4 linked regions of the Neodiprion lecontei genome follow. The protein of the gene in region 4 binds, or shares a complex with, the protein of the main gene of each other region. Links are inferred from orthologs where the notes say so. Each region holds a gene or a part of one and is shown on either strand. Other genes may lie near its edges.

Evidence for each region.
Region 1: THO complex subunit 2 (region 4) and THO complex subunit 7 homolog share a complex: the UniProt entries of both Homo sapiens proteins name them as parts of the transcription/export (TREX) complex. The link is inferred for Neodiprion lecontei from reciprocal best matches to the Homo sapiens genes THOC2 and THOC7.
Region 2: THO complex subunit 2 (region 4) and THO complex subunit 4 share a complex: the UniProt entries of both Homo sapiens proteins name them as parts of the transcription/export (TREX) complex. The link is inferred for Neodiprion lecontei from reciprocal best matches to the Homo sapiens genes THOC2 and ALYREF.
Region 3: the proteins of THO complex subunit 2 (region 4) and THO complex subunit 1 are in contact, whole or in part, in a cryo-EM structure (PDB 7ZNL), measured with the Homo sapiens proteins. The link is inferred for Neodiprion lecontei from reciprocal best matches to the Homo sapiens genes THOC2 and THOC1. Residues at the interface, in NP_001075019.1 of Homo sapiens: Leu155, Phe156, Tyr157, Lys158, Gln160, Asn163, Leu164, Leu165, Arg166, Asn169, Glu170, Ala173, Lys174, Ile176, Ala177, Gly180, Gln181, Asn195, Lys197, Ser198, Leu199, Ile200, Gly201, Cys202, Phe203, Asn204, Leu205, Pro207, Asn208, Arg209; in NP_005122.2 of Homo sapiens: Asn134, Arg138, Asn141, Leu144, Arg145, Lys149, Thr153, Cys156, Gly157, Gln160, Leu161, Ala164, Arg165, Phe167, Gln242, Phe245, Arg246, Tyr297, Ala299, Lys300, Phe301, Arg319, His320, Leu323, Gln324, Ile327, Tyr331, Arg373, Phe374, Lys376.

What each region holds. Positions count from the first base shown.
Region 1 is NC_060266.1:24,841,156-24,844,500, reverse strand, and holds THO complex subunit 7 homolog, read left to right. Parts: upstream 1-1,624; 5' UTR 1,625-1,815; coding exon 1,816-1,825; intron 1,826-1,999; coding exon 2,000-2,424; intron 2,425-2,478; exon of another isoform or gene 2,479-2,554; coding exon 2,555-2,737; 3' UTR 2,738-2,803; downstream 2,804-3,345. Other genes in the region: zinc finger protein ubi-d4 A, read right to left, coding at 111-316, 571-810, 940-1,049, 1,198-1,277; alpha-ketoglutarate-dependent dioxygenase alkB homolog 6, read right to left, coding at 2,832-3,089, 3,172-3,273. UniProt on the Homo sapiens protein: Component of the THO subcomplex of the TREX complex which is thought to couple mRNA transcription, processing and nuclear export, and which specifically associates with spliced mRNA and not with unspliced pre-mRNA.
Region 2 is NC_060261.1:38,210,639-38,216,359, forward strand, and holds THO complex subunit 4, read right to left. Parts: upstream 3,870-5,721; 5' UTR 3,704-3,869; coding exon 3,500-3,703; intron 2,332-3,499; coding exon 2,194-2,331; intron 1,936-2,193; coding exon 1,788-1,935; intron 1,356-1,787; coding exon 1,215-1,355; intron 1,037-1,214; coding exon 918-1,036; 3' UTR 501-917; downstream 1-500. UniProt on the Homo sapiens protein: Functions as an mRNA export adapter; component of the transcription/export (TREX) complex which is thought to couple mRNA transcription, processing and nuclear export, and specifically associates with spliced mRNA and not with unspliced pre-mRNA.
Region 3 is NC_060261.1:27,610,291-27,614,927, forward strand, and holds the start of THO complex subunit 1, read left to right. Parts: upstream 1-1,622; 5' UTR 1,623-1,837; exon of another isoform or gene 1,838-2,344; coding exon of another isoform or gene 2,345-2,562; intron 2,563-3,302; coding exon of another isoform or gene 3,303-3,493; intron 3,494-4,637. Other genes in the region: mitochondrial cardiolipin hydrolase, read right to left, coding at 2,345-2,562, 3,303-3,493. UniProt on the Homo sapiens protein: Component of the THO subcomplex of the TREX complex which is thought to couple mRNA transcription, processing and nuclear export, and which specifically associates with spliced mRNA and not with unspliced pre-mRNA.
Region 4 is NC_060265.1:3,424,458-3,429,261, forward strand, and holds the start of THO complex subunit 2, read right to left. Parts: upstream 3,011-4,804; 5' UTR 2,918-3,010; coding exon 2,853-2,917; intron 2,696-2,852; coding exon 2,652-2,695; intron 2,321-2,651; coding exon 2,229-2,320; intron 2,065-2,228; coding exon 1,951-2,064; intron 1,869-1,950; coding exon 1,753-1,868; intron 1,617-1,752; coding exon 1,486-1,616; intron 1,324-1,485; coding exon 944-1,323; intron 850-943; coding exon 671-849; intron 246-670; coding exon 1-245. Other genes in the region: 60S ribosomal protein L31, read left to right, coding at 3,577-3,800, 4,355-4,505. UniProt on the Homo sapiens protein: Component of the THO subcomplex of the TREX complex which is thought to couple mRNA transcription, processing and nuclear export, and which specifically associates with spliced mRNA and not with unspliced pre-mRNA.

The sequences.
Region 1 (3,345 bases), on a different chromosome or scaffold from region 4:
TGTATAAAGTTTTCAATATATCTAAACTGTTTAATCCATGAAGTATCTTTCCAGTATGAATAAGTTCGATAAAAAACTGATGGAAGCAATACATTGTATATTAAACTCACCTTTGTTCTTTTGGCCCCAGGACTGTCCACGGTGGGTGGATGTCCCCTGATAGGATGGTGGGCTCCACCTCGGGGCCTTCTTCTCCGTCTTTTACTACTATAACTTTCTTCGTAGTCATAGTCACTGTCTGGATCGGGTTCGTCGAAGGCATCCATGTCCAGCATGTCTTGCTCATCATAGTACCAAGCATCCTTACTATGTTCATCTGAAATAATTTTTTCTTAATAATCGTTGAACATCAAGACTACAAGAGAGTTTGCGGAAACATACGTAACAAGTAATTTCAGTAGGGCTTAAAATATATTTTAAGCATTGAGGGTAGTGAATTGGCAAATCTAACGAGCGACGAGAATCAATTGGACCGGAAATTGTATCAACAATTATTGCACGCCCACTCGGAAGGAGATGCCAATCAGATGTATGTGATAACATGGAAAGTAGATATTGATTAGGACGAACCTTTGAGAGCAACAGAATCTTTGCTGTCATCATTTAGTCCCGCAACAATTCCGTCGGCTCCTTCGACTCCGTCATCTATATCCCCTCGGGTGCCTCGTTTTGGGTGAAGATAGTGCATCAGATACTGTCGCCGCTTTTTCCGCCATCGTTTGCTCGGGTAAGTATATACCTGACCATGCATCAAGCCTGGGATTCGTTCTCGAGCCGACATGAAGAGAGCCGAGTGATTTTGGGCGACTCCTGTGGTTAGAAAAAACTCGTTTATCAATAGCCATTGATTAACCAAGACAGGAATGACGGGAATGTCAAGATATCCAGTAACTAATGACAATAATCACAGGAAGTAATCAACTGGTTCCATCTACTTACCAGTTTGCGAGTCGAGGAAGGGCATTCGCAGTCTTCGTTCTCTGCATAGTCTTGTGTTATAATTGGAAGAATTCTCTATGGCTTCTCTATAGGCGGTGTCGTTCAGGAAGCTGCGGACAGATCAATACATTCAACATAGCGAAGTGCAACCCGCTCGTCCTACGACGGAGCAAAAATCGTCGAGGTTAAATTACTCTGTCAATTTAACGATGCGAATATTTCCATCAACATATGTGACAATCGTCTGGTCGCACTCACCTCTCGATTTTACTCAAATTCGACTCGTTCACTACTTGAATTAGGTGATGGGACGCTGGGAGAGCTGTCACCGTCGCCATCTTCAAGCAGTTTCCATCTCATGGGGAAATCGGAAATGCAACCGCCATTGTAGCCTTCATTAAATCTGCCGGAAGTACAAGGAAGAGTCGATCAGGGAGCGTATAATATAATCCTACATTATATATTAAAGTTGCGACAGATAGCGATTATTGCTAAAGTGGGACAATTGATATGTCACGAGCTTTGGCTTCACAAATGTGGAACAATTGATTTATAATCGATTCTTTATAAGAAATTTACAATTTTTCATCTCGTGCACATGCGATAATTTCCCTGGAGTCGATGATCGAATAGAATCAGTGCGCAAGTCACGTTACGTTGTAAATAAAATGGCGACTGACTTGTGGTAATTGTTGACTCTTTCTTTACCGACTAAAATTACGATACCGTGTGTTTGTAGTAGCTTATTCTAATTGAGGTTGAACGAAGAAAAAATTCGGTTCTTTTCAACGCAAATTGAAGTTCGACCTAGCTGATGTTTACACCTTGAATAAAATTTTTAAACTTCAAGAACCCGACGTCACTACATCATCGAATATGTCAGATGGTAAATAGCCAAATATAATTCAAAATCAAATTGTAAATGCGACATTTATGTCAGTTTCACGGTATAAGCGCCGGAAAGTGAGACATAACCTCATTTTGTGTTTTTATACAAAAAATTAGCTTTGTGATTATACTACAACATTAGTTAAACGTTTTTAATTGCACGATTTTTTAGAGGAAGTTATACGACGTCGTCTACTCATAGATGGAGATGGAACAGGCGATGATAGACGGATAAACGTTTTGTTGAAGTCGTTTTTAAAATGGGCAAATACTCCGGATCCAGACAATACTGTGCATGAAAGAATGCTGTCACAGCTAGCCCAGTGTGAATTCGCACAAAAAAAATCTCGTCTCGTAGCAAATATGAGTCAAGAGGAGTTAAAGAATTATGAAAGGATGTCAAAGGATATTGGTATTCAAATTGAAGAGGCTAAAAAAGAAATTGAGAAAACTAAGGTCGAGCTACAAGATGCTAAACGTGTTCGTAAAAATAGAATCGAGTATGACGTTCTTGCCAAAGTGATCAGCGAACAGCCTGATAGACTTGAAACAGATGTGAAGCTCGCCACTTTGCGTAAAGAGTTGGGAACCTTGAAGGTATTTTATGGACAAATTTTTTATCCTATCTTAGAAATAGTTTTAAATCGTTCATTTTTATGTCGACAATTAGCCGATTAAAGTGTGTCTCTTGGGAAAAAGTACGGCAACAACTATTTTATTCTTACAGGAAAAATCTGAACAATTAGAGCATAAGCTAGAAATGCGAAGAAAACAATTCCATGTGCTAATATCGTCGATTCATTCGCTACAAGGAATGTTGGATGAGTCTGATGAAGAAATAATGGACGTCAGTCTTGAGAATTACGAGGATGTGGATGTGTGTATGTCTCCAAAGGCTGCAGCCTGGTAAATGTTTCAAATTTTCCCCCGTAGCGTTTTGCAACAATAGATTATTGTAGGAAAGTAATTGAGAGATGAATTTGAGCAAAATAAGATCGTCAAAATCATCTTCCTAGTTTCAATTTGAGCTTGCTGGTCTTTGGAACGTGCCTGATAGTCAGGGATAATCTTGTCCCTCTGTCAATCACTTCATTCTCTTGATATTTCACAGCACAGAGATCTAGATTCATAATGTTCTTCCTTGAAATCGTATCACAATGCCTCTCAGAAATTGAATGCAGGTACTTGTGGTACAGGTCGTTTTCTAAAATAAGTAAACTTCTTCTCTCAAGTAGCAAGGTAAACTCCAGATTAGAAACTTCCTACGAATAAAGAATTCAGGAATAACTGTCAAAAAGCTCGTAGTTTCTCACCCTTATCAATATTTCTTTTACAGATACTTACTACGTGGTCAGTCTCATTCCGCTTATAAAAATCCAGGAGAGTGTGCGAGCCACAACTTATTGTTGTAACAATAGGATGAAATAATGGACCATCCGAATGTGCCTGTATAATAAAAAGTCAGTCCATATCAGGGACAAAAGGAAGAAGACTGTACGATTTTGTGTTATTCATAAA
Region 2 (5,721 bases), on a different chromosome or scaffold from region 4:
TGTATTGGAGATACACGTCGACACCCAGTAATATCAGGCCATTATTGAGAAAGAAATTAGTTACTGATGACCTGACTGAATTATATGTTCACAGCCTTAACACATCGCAGCTCAATTATTTGCGGTGGTTTTTTTCCCTCATATTTTTTTCTTCTCAAAATCTTGCATATGTCATTATTTGATAACGACAATAGTTCACTATGGTGAAAAAAACTCATCATCTTGGATACAATTACAAATGATTACAAGCATTTTAAACGTTATAATGTTGTGTGTATTGTATAATATCGTTATCAACACTGTTAAGACGTTTCTATAACAATTACCCACTTTATTGTAAATGTGCTACACTTAAAATCTGCGTAATTTGATTATTATTAAAGAGGATGATGATAATAGGAACGCCACTTACATAAGGCTAAAGTTATTTTTACAGTGTTGCCTTCAACTTATACTTATTAAGGGCTATAAGCACATGACGTACTTTGATAAATAACAACTTTTGAAGGAGAATTTGAGTGTATTTTTCAGTTTATGATCACACACGCACGGTATTACATACAAAATTCATACAGCCTTTATATTATGTCACAACTTTGTATTCTTTCCCATGTCTGATGGACATTTTTTTTACCTCGGATGCCAAAAATCACGGTACGATTTTACTCTGCAGCTTTTTCATATTGCATTTGAGTTGTTATTAGGTATCTAAACTCTATGAGTAGTAGAACGTCAAACATAATTAAAAAATACTCATTCCGAGACAATCAAAAAAAAATCTTTTTCTTTACTCTCACGTATTAATTTCATGATTATTAACTTATTTGGAAATAAGAGATTGTTACGTTCTTCAATTAATAAAAGAACCGTTAAATGAGAAAGAAGATATATGTAGTAGAATTTTATGCTATCTTATGTTACTTCACTTCCTTAACGTATGCTTCTAATTCTGCATCCAACTCTTCTGCAGTTGGAGTTTTGGCTGGCGTCCGTCCACCTCCTCTAGTTCCACCACGTCGACCACCGGTTCCACGACCTAATGAAAACAAACATCCATCCAATTAGACGTAATAAACTCGCAAGTGGGTAAGTATTAATGATATAAAAAATATTCGCTACACTAACATTACGGGCTCTTCTGGGAAACTTAAATTCTAATACATCAACTATTTTGAGATAATTGGTAGACGAGTAACAAGTAAACAGTAAAGTACCTCGGTTGGAACTAGCTCCACGAGCTCCTCTGAAGCGCGGTTGGGCTCTTTGTACGAAGCTACCACCACTGAGTCTACTTCCTCGGATAGATGAGGTTACTGGAAGTTCTGAAGTTGCTACTTGAATATTCATCTCTCGACCTGTTGACCGAATAGTCAGTATTAAGTAGTTATTTTGCGTAGCATGGGCGTGAACTGAGTGTTGTTCGGTAAGACAGATGTTATCAGCACAGACGATTCGATGGTCGTCGACATACCGAAAGTATGACGTGCCACAAACGTTAGATGGACCGAGTAGCAATTTACACTCGAGCTCCATACGATATTTTTTACAGTGCAACATGAAAATTTTTTATACTGCAGTTCTGAAGTCAGCAGTGTAAAGTACCATTCTACAGTTTGAAAACAGTCCTCAAAATGCGAATTTTTCATGCATGTGTCATAAAAACTGTATTAATACTTTACTACAAAGAATTTATCCTCCACTATTACTTTTGCATTAATGAAAATCGCACAATATTTTGACTGTATAGTAATTGAACTTGAAATATTAAGAGGAAAAAAAAAACTTACCATCAAGAGGCACGCCATTGTACTGTTTCATTGCTTTAATGGCATCTGCTCTTCTTTCAAATATAACATCTGCTGAGCCAAGCGATCGACCAGATCTGTCATAGTGTACAGCAGCTGATTTCAATGGGCCAAACTCACTGAATAATTCCTAGTTGTCATTTAAGATGAAAAAAAATTCAATTAATTATTAAAGTACTGTCAAAAAATTTCGTTTACATGTTTTCAACTAGAGATCTACTTAAAAGTTATTTGAATTTTCAGAAAACTTGAACTCCCAAATTAAGTATTAGAATTAGGTTTTAATGAATATCACCATCTATAAAATTAGAGACATGTTCTTGATAAGAAACTAAAAGTTGTTGAATAGACTGGAAAATATTAGATATACATTGCATTAATATTTTACCTGAATATCTGAATCGGACACCCCAAAATCTAAATTTGAAACAAGTAGTTTGGTTGTGCCTGTACCACCAACTGCACCTCGTCCAACTTTCTTCACTCCATCAAACATGTCATGTTTCCAAGCACTGTTCACATCTCCCTAAAATTAACACACAATCCAATCTTATTATGATGAACGAGAGGTTCAATAGTCTTAAATTAAACAAAGTTCGAATATATTCAATTCATTCTAAATAGACCTTCACGAGACTTGTGTGTTTCTGTGTGTTATCAGGTAAAACAGAACAAGTTCATACATATAATTTAACAGTTGAACATACATACTTATTGAAGCTTATGAATATCATTTACTTTACTTGTTCTTTACAATTACTCGTATATTTTTTAACACAAAAAACAGAAAACTATGTAATCGTGATGTTTATTCAACTGGGTGAAAACATTCCGACTGACAAATTCATCGTAGTAGCATTTATCAACTCATCTTGTGGAATTCTTTTTGATGTAAACAAAAATATATTGTGGATAATAGTGGTATCTTAAAAGAGAAACAAAAAAATTAAAAGAAGTTTAGAAGTACACAAGTGAACGAGGTCAAACTACAACCATCTGTAAAATAACTGGTTAAAGTAAACTATTTGCATTTTAAACATATATAATAGATTGTTCATGTTTGACTGTGAATGAATATTTGTAGAATTTTACAAAAAAAAAAAACCATTACTGTATGCTTCTTTTTAGACTACCCAAAAACAAATGGGAAACCAATATAGACACTGCAGTATCAAGATTATTTTATTCGTATTATTCACAAACGATCGAATTATGCCAATGAAGTAATACAAGAAAATTACACCGTGGGAGAACTATCAAAAAGTGAAACGCATTTTCTAGCTGAAAAGGTCAAACGTGAAAATTTTATTGATACCACGTTTAATCAGGCGCGCTCATTAAAATGGCGCAATTTAGAATTTTTTGGTGTTGGGAGTGTAGCGTTCCTGCATTTTGCAGTTCCTAATTTTGTTTTTAATAACGTAATTGTAATTTTGGAAGCGATGAATGAAGTACGGAAAAGTGAAATTCAAAAAAGAAATAAAACAAATTGACGTGATATAATATCCGCAATAAGAACACAACCGCATGTGTGCAGTTCCGAAATTAGCGGTCATATATGCATCGATACACACAGGCGAATGATGCCCGATGAGTGTTTGTAGAAAAAAGCAACTTCGTCTCGGATATAAATTTATGAAAAACTTGGGATATCTGGAATGATCTGAGTATGAGCATGGAAAATTAATAATTACCCGGGTGTATGGAACGGCTGAGCGGCCAATTCCTCCTCGGCTTCGGCCGCGCATCACTCCACCGCCGGCTCGCGACGCACCTCGGATACCACGTCTCGGCGAAGCTGTTCCGCGTCCACGACGTCCGCTGCCCCGGGTTCTTCCACCTTTGTTCTGCTTGATAATGTCATCCAGACTCATTTCTATTTTGTCTACCATCTTCATTTGTACGTAATAAATTCTTTGCTTTAACAGTGGACTCGTACGCACAAAACCAACCTCACCCCGTTATGTCAAAGATGGCGATCAAGACCGCGAAGAGTGTCGAAAACTACTACGAGCTTTTACGAGCGACGCGTCTACACAACTGCAGGGACGTTCGTAAACTGATCAACCGTAGACGTCCGCCCGGCCTTTTACCAGATTGGTTAGCTTTCTAACTCTGCCGCTAGAGGGCCAGGTATGCCCCCCCACTCCTCTATAAATATTTTTCGTAAAATAAAAATATAATAATGTGTTTTAGTTCCGAATAACACTATCAAAATTTGCGGAATTTTTCATTTGCGTTAACTGAAGGTATATAAATACTGATAGCCTTGTGGGAATTTTTGTAATCGAAAATGAACGAGATTAATTTATCGTCAAGTAACGCCATCTGCGCTCTTCCCTGCATGCGCAACTGAAGCCGGCAAGCTGTCGGTACGTAAAGGCGACAAAAACCGAATGACTCACCGCGTGTACCCAAATAATGCAGAATTAAATGTTATTTTCCTATGGAATGACGAACAGGAACAGACTGAAATCCTTATATGACCCCGTAAGGACGCCGTATACTTTTCAACTATGCAAATTCATTTTAGCCAAATTCAGCAATTTTAATCCAACTCCATCAGATAGACAAAAATAATGTTATCTAAATAGATGCATGCACCATAAACATACACCTGGTTAACTGTTAACAGCGTTAAAAACCTTTTCTTGATACAAACGATAGGACAAATAGTCGAAAAAATTAATCAAAGGATGAAGATGTATAGTTATTCCTATATGCTGTACCTTATGTAATTTATGTAGATATGTTTAATACATAACTCATACTCAGCGCCGAATTTACCTATAGGGCCGATAGATTCGGACCTAGAACGGCATTTTTTAGGGGGCGGCAGAAATTGGGTCTGTAAATGCATTTTTGGAACGAAGTTCCTTAACACGGCTTGCGGGTTGGAGTTTCACTGCTCTAAAAAGTATCGCAAGTGATGAGACCGAGCAGTTTGCAGTCATTATTGCAAACTTATGAGGTTTGATTTTGAAAAGGTTCAACCTTGTGAATTTGAAGTTGCAGAGCGTAAATATTGATATTGGAACCGTCGTGGAATTATATCATTCGCTTACTGATTTCGCCCGAAGTATTAGAGATAACTTCGACCACTTTGAAGAGATGGTAAAGGCTACATCGACTGTTCAAGAATATGAAACGGAGAATAAGCGGATTAAGAAAAGAAAACTCAGAATAGATGAAAGCCCAAGTACTGAAAGTGGGCGAGATGACTTTCGGATAAATACATTTAACGTAATAGATGATAGTCTCAGTGCAGAATTGTAATGGCGCAGTTGGTATATGCAGAGCTTCATGAAAAATTCAGTTTTCTAGAACGGCTGAAGATATTATAAATTAAGGAAATAAGAGAATCTGCAGAAAAATTACTGGTAGCATTCAACGAGGATTTAGAAGATGGTATAGTGGAAGAATGTTTACACCTTCGCTTGCCCGACAACTGAAAAAGAATAGAAACGGAACGATTAGCACAATTATGGATCCCGTTTCTTTAGGTTGCCGAATTAAGCATGTTTTATTCCAATGCGGAAATCGTTCCAAAAATAACGGATTCTGGCCTCCGTACAAAAGTAATCCAATACGGCTGGGGTATACTATAAAACTATGGCTTTGTGTACACGAGACAGACATCATAGACAAGGCAAGTACAATGGACGCTAGATATAATACGTTATATGGCTCTGCCGCAGGGCCCGATGATCGGAAAATTGTCCGAAATGGCTAATTGGCAATCACGAGAGCCCTACACGGTGGGTGGTGACACACTGCAGCGCAGCGGGAGATGGGCCCAGCTGAAAAGTCGGCACCAGAAAGCTCAAGGTTTTACTATCATAAAAAATAATTGACCTTCCCCGAAGAACGTTTAATTTGTGTATGTTTCCGGTCACGTAAAGAGACTCCCCGCCGC
Region 3 (4,637 bases), on a different chromosome or scaffold from region 4:
TGGTAATTCATAAACTGAAAATGTAAACTAGCGATATTCTTTCCTACCACTTCGAATTATACAATTCGACAATTATGAGGATAAAATAGACGATCTGTAAATATCTGACCGTCTGAGTGGTAGAAACTTCACGAGAATGGGATTCAAAATACTATGCGAAGTAAGAAATACTCGAACGGTATTCTAGCTCTAGCGGTTACCGCTAGATATCGCGCCAATCTCGTAAGTGAAACTACTCGGCAGTAACTTATAGTTATAACAATTCTTGGAGACGAGATTTATTGTGTCCATCTATTTTTGAAGCATAGTCAAGGCAAAGATAGATACATTTCGATTTATCGTCTGTGTATACGTATGCATGCCTGATACTTGCGTCTACTAAGAAACGAAGACAAATTGCGAGGCAACGCGATCTGAATAATCCGTATTAGCATAAGTTGAACATACATCGTGCTTGCAAGCAATGTGAGTGAGTTCTGCGATACGGTGAAATTGAGGATCGCTTACTGGGGATGATGTCACAATCGTCATGGCAACTCCCACAAAAGGGTATTTGAGTCAAGGAAGAAAGCTCATCGTCGGTGTTTAATTACCGGTTTTCGTTTCCGTCTCTGAATTATTCATGGAGTCTCAATTCTACGTAATATTTTTGAAAGTCGTTTATGTGTTTGAAAATACAATGCAGACTCAATGAAGTTTTCATTTGTTGGGATATTCATTCAATTTCAAAGAATCTGCCAGTATAATAGTTGGGAATGTATGCCTGGACCAATATGTTTCGAAATAAATCATACGCAGTTCGTTTTTCTAATAATATAGACTCGGAGAAATTATAGCATGTACATTAAAGAAAAAGATGGAGAATGTTACGATGTGTAATTAAATAACTATGATATTTTGTAACATCGGATTTATGTTATGTTTGAATGAGTGAAGGATTTTTGGATTTTTCATTGACAGAAAAACTTTATTGAGAGGTATTGTAAAACAATTGCTGGAAAAATGTTGAGTTGGGATTTGAAAAAAAAAATGTATTGCACAAGTTTTTATTCATCATACTGTTTAATAACAATGATTCGACGTTTGGATCTTGTATACACACAGCATGTTGAAAATCATGGAAGTTTCATTCTTATTCTACACTGGAAAATTTGCTCGAAAGAGAACGTCAAGAAATCGTAATAAGAATAATAAACTTAATGAAAGTTAATAGCGTTAAAATAATTAATTGAGAAAATTAATTAGTCTTAAAAAATACAGCATTTCGCTCAAACAATCGATAGATATTTCGATCTTATTCAGGTGTTGGATATATTTACCTCACATTCGATGGCCGAACATTTTCAAAGTACACGAGTACAGCTAAAAAATTTTACGAACACAAGCTGTACAGTTAAAAAAATTCACTTACGCAATGCTGATTTTTTTCAACGGCTAAATATTGACGACTTCTTCGTGAGTATTTCTCTATTGGAAGACTATTCAATTACAATACTCAAACTTTGCACTGAGTTCTGTGTTATACAAGTTCAGATTGTGCATGTGTGCCAAATCAGCGCGGTGACATAGGTTAACAGCTAATTAATTCAACTAGTTATACTGAAGGTCAGGGGTATTTTTCAGATGAAAAGGTCAACGCATAAAGCCGCACGTCACGGCATCCTCATGCGTCACAGCGCAGACGCATGCATTAAAGCTCCATCACGACCGTACCTCAGAAGCATCATTCAGACGATAAATTACGATTCTGGATTCCTCGTGAATACTGAAAAAGGCGTCATCGCCATATCTGTATCGAGTTCGGACGAAGACCCTACTTCTGTGCTAGGCTGCATGGGTATGTACCGCAATATTTGATAGTTTGGTAGATTTTGTCGCAGAAATACAAAGAATTGTATTTCGAGTCAGGAAATTGCCAATTGATTGGTAAATCTATGCATTTCGTACGCCCATGCTCTTCTTTCAATTTTCATAATCCCTCGCACTGACTCTCCACAGTCTATGTATATTAATGTCTTGAACAACATTTCACTTACAATTATTTCTATGAGTATCGAATCGGAATCGAAATACGTTTAAATAACCTCCCTCGAAATATTTCCTGAATATTACTAATTTATTATCGTCAATAGCTACTCGGTGTATTCAAACGCGTAATGCACTTCAGATTAAAGCGGTCCATCAATCGTAAACGGCGGCTTCGTTCCCAGAAGGGAATATAGTCTCAAAACGACTAGGAACCAGTGGTGTAAAAGAATTGTTTAAACATATTCATCAAAGTGTTTTTTCAAATTATTCCATACTTCGTTGCGGTATACGTTTGAACCAAATGAGTTTATATTCATCAGTCTTCGCCTGTGGTGAGCAAAATCCACATTCTGTCGAATTCCGCAATGAACGGCTTGACTAGGGCGAGTTGATTCGAAACTATGACGTTGTCCCAGTTTCCGTGCATCGCTTGCATCGTCCAATTTGTACTCCCCGTCAAAATCAGCTTCCTATCAATTATCGCAAACTTGTGATGCATCAAGTATTCCGATTTCTTCATCCTCACTCGAATACCTGGCGATGAGGTTATACAAGAAACGATTAAATATCATTCGCTTGACCTTTATTTTGATTTTTGATTCAACTTTGTATAGCTGCTATTTACATGAAGAATTTCACAAATACTCATTGATTATACAGGTGAGAAATACTAGCTTTGCTTCCACTTTGAGATTTGAAATTTGAAAAACGGTCTATAATTGTGTGATTTTAGCGGGTATAAACGAAATTCTCGAGGTCCCTGTAAATTTCACGTTGTTAAACGACATGCATTAATCAACTCAAAAAACACATGTTTTCACGTTCAACGCACTTGTAATTGCACTTGAAACTTAAAACCCTGATTTCGTCACGACAGATTCTTTTTTCAGTACGTTGTTCGAATTTTCTTCGATTTTCGGTACTTGATTAATTTTTAAATTACAGAGTCTAATTCGGACGTGAATAGTTCTTGAGAAACTGTGTACCTAACGGCATAGAATATCTACGAAATTTCATCAATATCGTACAAACTATTTCGAATCAAGATATCACGTGAAGAGTGTCGAAAAACGTTGTTTCGAGTAAATTAATTGTGAATTTTACCGTATCAATTGCAAATACTAAAAGTTGACTTAGAAATTCTACGCGAAATGGTGACGAATCGCCTTACTTTCTGAGAAATCCTGTTATTCAAATTGTTTGGGAGTGATTTAGATAATGATACGCGTGCGATTTGAAGAGCCTGAATTGCTTTGAACTAAGTAAAATCTTACCTCGTTCTCGAAAATCTCTTATACGACGCTCACAGGCGGAATTTTCCGCCATTCCTCCATCGACGATAATTCTGACAACTACTCCGCGACAAAACACCTTGGCTATCGCTGCTGCTAGATCCTCACAGCTGAATAGATACATGCAAACATCGAGATTTTGCTGAGCAGATTCCAAATATGCGCATAGTTTCCTACAGCAGAAAGAATACGTATTTCACAAGTCGTATATATCGTAGCGGATCATTTACAGCAGACAGGCCGTGTCCGTACTAAAAGCAACATGACGACGTTGAAGCAAAGATTTCCAGGGTGGGTGTTTCGACGCTTCGAATTGAATAGATATCTTGTGATCTGTCTGTTACGAAATATGATGTTTGTCGGTAGCAGGGTAGGTTATAAAATCTACGAGATTGAAGTTAGCAACGTTATTGTAACGAAACGTTGAGAAATAATCACTATTTTATTACGGTTTGCTGAATTTCAAACAGCTGCGAAATTATCTCTGTGAAGTTGGTACCCCATTTTGGAAAAAGTAAGTTTTCGTTTTTACGAGTTCTGGATAGTGCTCAAATAGTTCTACAGTTCTATACCCATATGAGAAATACTTCTGGTTGTTTACCACCAATTGTAAGAAAATAATAAACAATAAAAAAAATAACAACAATGCTAGCACCCCACAATTAAAGTACGGCAATTTTTTCGAGTTCTAAGAAGATTTCAGAAATAGCTCGAGAACTCTTCGAATTCTGATTGAATCGGAAAAATTCATTCGAATGATTGACGGAACTCACGCTCGTCTATGCGAAACTCTCATCGGAACTTTGGGAATGGTTAAAATTAATTTTCGCTGTAAGTAATGCGCGTGGATATTTTGTTCAATATCTCGGTAACGAAACAAAATAAAAAAATTTGAATCGGCTGAAACTCTAGAATTCTGAAAAAAAAATGACTGGTTTTAAATAACGGAGTGCTAGCATTTTTGTTATTTTTTATTTTCTATTTTATTAGTGGTAAATAACCAGAACTATTTCTCATATAAGCATAGAACTGTAGAACAATTCGAATACCATCCAGAACTCGCAGCAAAAACTTATTTTTTCGAAAACGAAGTAATCAGCGAAGTTGGCACCCCATTTTTTGAAATTAATTTTTTGAACCCTAATTGACCGGAACTATTTTTGAAAATTATCCGGAACTTTAGAACTCTTTGAGAAGATTCAAGAACACTCGAAAATTTTTATTTTTTTTTTTCAAAAATGGGGAGCCTACCTCACAGAGGTTGCAAAATTGCGAAATAACGGGTTTTCATCAGCATGAGTCGTTACGATAACGTTA
Region 4 (4,804 bases):
GATTGTTTTCTTTGCTTATAGGTTGCTTATTTGAGTCCAATTCGCATTGCTTGATAGCAACGTGACACAGACGCATAATTTTGTACATCAAAATTGCATCGTGATGTAAGTTAGGTCCAAGTATCATCAGCATTGGCAGTAAACGATCGTGTATGTCGTCCAATTTATAAAAAGGCAGTGGAGCTAGAGGGCTTTTCATTGGCGGCACTTTTCTACCAGGTAACTTTGGTGATATGATGCAGTATCTGGAAATCGATACTTGAATGTTATTCTGCATAAAAATTATACTGTCAATGGTATGTTACATTATATGCCGTGAATTTTTTTAGACGTGAATTTATTATATATATATTTATTATTTAGTATTCGGTGACAGCTGATGGCTCAGGACAGTTACCAAGAGTACAATGATCAAATTACGATCCACCAGCTCTGTTCGGAGCCATAAAATACTACCGGATTAGCCAATTTCAAATAGCTGTAATTCGCAAAACACAAATTTTCTATTAGAAGTAAAAACGTCTCAATCGCAGATTTTAATGAAAAATACATTGGTAGCCTATGGAGCAATAGTCCTGGGTCACCCTTGAAATAATATCTTAGTGCCAATGCACAAGTTGATTGACTTTAGTTTTGGGAAAAAGATTCATTCTGTAAGCTTTGAACTCACTTTCTGTAGGCTGGTTCGATGATTGACTGAATCATTCTGCAAAGTGCCAGTGCGATTGGTCGTTGATCAGTAAAGCAATGATCTGGTAGTCGTTTAAATAAATTCTGTGCTATGTCCCATGCACCGACTTCTAATAATGCTTGACAGAGTCCAAACTTTTGATTGGTAACGTACTTATCCTGCCAAATAAATTATTATTGGACACCTGTACCTAAAGTCCAAATTATACAAAAGAAGTTCAATATGATATTTAGTATGATAAATGATACAAACCTGTACGACATCTTTTTCCTCAGGGACTTCCTCCTTATCTTTAGTGGATATGACACTCATCTTTCTAACATATTCTTTAGCTTGTTTCATTGCCAATTCATGATCCTTAATTATATCCTTGTCGTCTGGCACAAGCCAGGGTAAAATATCGTCCAGTTTGATTACATGATGTTGCAACATCAATGCTGCAACTTTCTGTAAAGAAAATGGGGTTGCTGCTGTTGAAGAGCGATATTTAAAGCCTAGAACTTCGCAAAGTACTTGCTGGTCACTCATGTAAGAGCGAATGAGAGGAATAAATAAACTGTCGTCATCTGGCCGATTTTCAAATGTTTCCAGCAAAATATCAAGAACTCTGTTAGGGTCAAGATTAAAGTAACCTGAAATTAATATCAATATATTAATTAAACGTCACACACTTTGGCATGTAGTAGGAGCGAATAAGTTTTATCTCAAGTTTATCAAGTTTTTTCTTCGTTGCGAAATCTTGGAAAAGAAACAATGTCTTAAGAGTAGTCAAATACTCAGTGCCTATATCATACCAATGAGAGACTTGACAATCTCCAAGGTAGATGCAACTTCATTTTCTTGATATTCTTGATTTAATTCAACAATCAGTTTAGAATATCCTTCGCTCTCTTCGCGAAACAAATTGAATTTTCGCTGTTTGTAGCTGAAATAATAAATTGATATTACAGATTACTGCAAGCAGTTGATAGGTGGTAAGAATTTGAGGTAAAACAAAATTTATGTATACTAAATCTAGTGAGATGTAACAGATGATGTTCTTATCAAAAAATCATACGTACTAGAGTTTGGTTTTAACTTTGATGAACTTAGTTTGAAAATTGCGATTCTTCAACGTCCCAACATCTTGAAGAGTATCAATTTCCAGACGCTCTTTCAAGATTCTATCTGTGAGAAACTGAAAAAGAGAAATACTGATTAGTATGCCACACTAAGGAAATGACCTACATTCGTTTTTGTTGCTTGCAATCAAGTATTACCTTTTCCGATTCTTTGACAATGTAATACAAATTGTTTCTATCCTCATTATGCGCTTCAGCATCGATTAATGTAAATATGTCTACAACAGCTGATGGAATCGCACCATCAATATTCTGTAAAAAAAATATGTAATTTAACAATGATTTGAACAACTGCATAATCATTAAATGATCACAGTAATGAGTTTCTTTTTAATATAAAGTGTTTAAACTTGAATTAAAACATCAATAGTTTCGAGATATGTGAGCTATAAGGGCAAACGATTGATTTGCCTTACCATAAGTTCACCAAGTGTCGACACTACACTATCCTTTTTTACGTTTCCTCGGATTCCATTTGATATCAATTGGTATAAACCCTTTCTCCATTCTGAAATTATTGAAAGCATAAAAACAATGGTTGATTTTAATTTATTATGCAGAAAAAGGAAGCGCACAATCTGACTTTGTCTAGCGACTGAATCTATCATATCAGCATGCACTTAGTACACCCGCCAGCTGCACACGGTACAAATTGAAAACTTCAAACATTTACAAAATGATGTGACAGTTAATTGAAAACAAAATTCAAAAAAAGTTCTCTGCTAAAGAATAAGTTTGTTTGGAGGTAGTAAAGCAAAGTAAAGCTAAAAAGATATTCGCAAAGACAAAGTGAGGTGGTAGAGATCAGCTGTAAATGGGATATTGAAATACATTAATACCTGTTGTGTTCCCTTCCTTATATTTTTGCTTGATTAACTTGAGGCTGCAAACAGTTGGTAATTGACATTAACTCTTGAGAAGAGCGAGAAACAGGAGAGATAAGTTGGGTGGTTGCAACCATCATTTCACAGAGAAGGCAGGTAGGTATCAATTCAATATTAATCAAATGCGAGCGCGGCGCAATTTTGATAATCACTTACAAATCATTTTTTCCATGCTTATCCCATGATTTCCATAACTCGGAATTCCATATTTTACCAGCCATTTTAATATTAATTATACAAATTTTAGCTTACAAACATTACTATCAACATCGCAGGTTAACGGAGACCATTTTACAGGCTCGCGTGCGCGTTCATAAACTGGTTGAAAATCAGACCAGGGCATCTTATACCATTCTTCGAGAAACAAAATCCCTAGATGCTTACTAGGGAAGAAGCTAAAGTTCTTGCAGTTTTCACCCCATTACGCTATAACTTTTAGTATATTCTTTATTGTTCGTGTCGCAGTGTTTGGTTGTTATTTTATTAATCATTGAAGATTGGATTCATTGTATAACAAATTATTTATAAAATTTCCCAAAGGACACAAATATAATATTTGTCCAATTTCTTCGGCTCCTGGTGACGGAATATGCCCTTCTGAGTGGAAATCCTTGATTGTTTTCGGAACACAACCGGTTAGTGGCTCTTTTGAGTACTTCCATTTTATCGGAGAGGTAATGATAAATTTGTAGAAAATAAAATCTGAAAACATCGGCGACTGTGTTAAATAATAATTAATGCCGGCAGTGCCAAGTGCTTCTTAATACCCCAACAAATATATATTCAGTAATATTGTAGCTCGAAAATTAGATTATTCTGTGATCTTTCTACAGCACACGAGGTTAACCACTTTTTCGTTGTTTACATGGTTAGGTATAAGATGGCGAAATCTACGGGCGAAAAGAAAGGAAAAAGCGCGATGAATGAGGTCGTGACACGTGAATATACGGTCAATCTCCACAAACGATTGCATGGCGTCGGATTCAAGAAACGGGCACCTCGAGCTATCAAGGAAATAAGGAAGTTCGCCGAAAAACAAATGGGCACACCTGACGTTAGGATCGACACACGTCTTAACAAGCAGCTGTGGTCCAAGGGAATCAGGTATGCTGACTGAATAAACACAGTTGTCAGTTAAACTCCAGTTCACGCTTTACCCAATAAATAGATTTCGCAAAACGTAGCATGTCAAACGTATAGATAAGTTAACCCTACTGTGTAACTGTATGTCCACCACTTCTAACCCAGTGAGCATCACATTATGCTCCTCTGGCTGTTACAAGTAATCAATAAGGTTACAATATGTGAGATATGTGATAGCCGATGTGGATAAGTTTTGTTATTTAGTCTAATCACTTGACAGGATGAGGAGTCTTTTCGGCTCAAAAGTTCCCTTTTCGGACGGAAGTTAATACGCTTAGCTAGCCTCGTGTTTATTGACCGTTTCAATAATTTATGGAGACTCTTCCTAATTGATTTACAAACGGCAGTTGTGTCCTAGTTGATTTTAGATGGCAGTCTTTCACATCCCATTTAAATACAATTACAATTACTTCACAGTCTAGTTGGTGGACTCGTTGACATTGTAAAATTGAAACAAATACTGTTGTAATACCTGTACTCAAATTGTATTAAATATTTTTCATTCTTGCTTTCAGAAATGTCCCCTTCCGTGTTCGCGTCCGCCTTAGCAGGAGAAGGAACGACGACGAAGACTCTGCAAACAAATTGTACACACTAGTTACATACATCCCTGTTGCCACCTTCAAGGGACTCCAGACAGAAAATGTGGATGCTAGTCAAGAATAATTTATTCTTGAGCAATAAATAATTTTGGCTAATATCACCACAGTTTTTGTTCACATATCATTGCCCTATCCTTGACGCTATGATCCCATCTTTTTCATTCAAAGTGTTCTGGATCATCATTGATTATTCTAATTTTTAAATGACACACTCTTTAGCAATCACAATCGAGCCAAGTTATTAATTACTCAAGGCGGTTTTCAAATCGTATTGACAAACTACTAAAAATTAGAACTACATTTCGATCGATCAATTAGAGAATCAACAACTTTGAAATTATTAACCAGAGTGGTCGCTTCTCC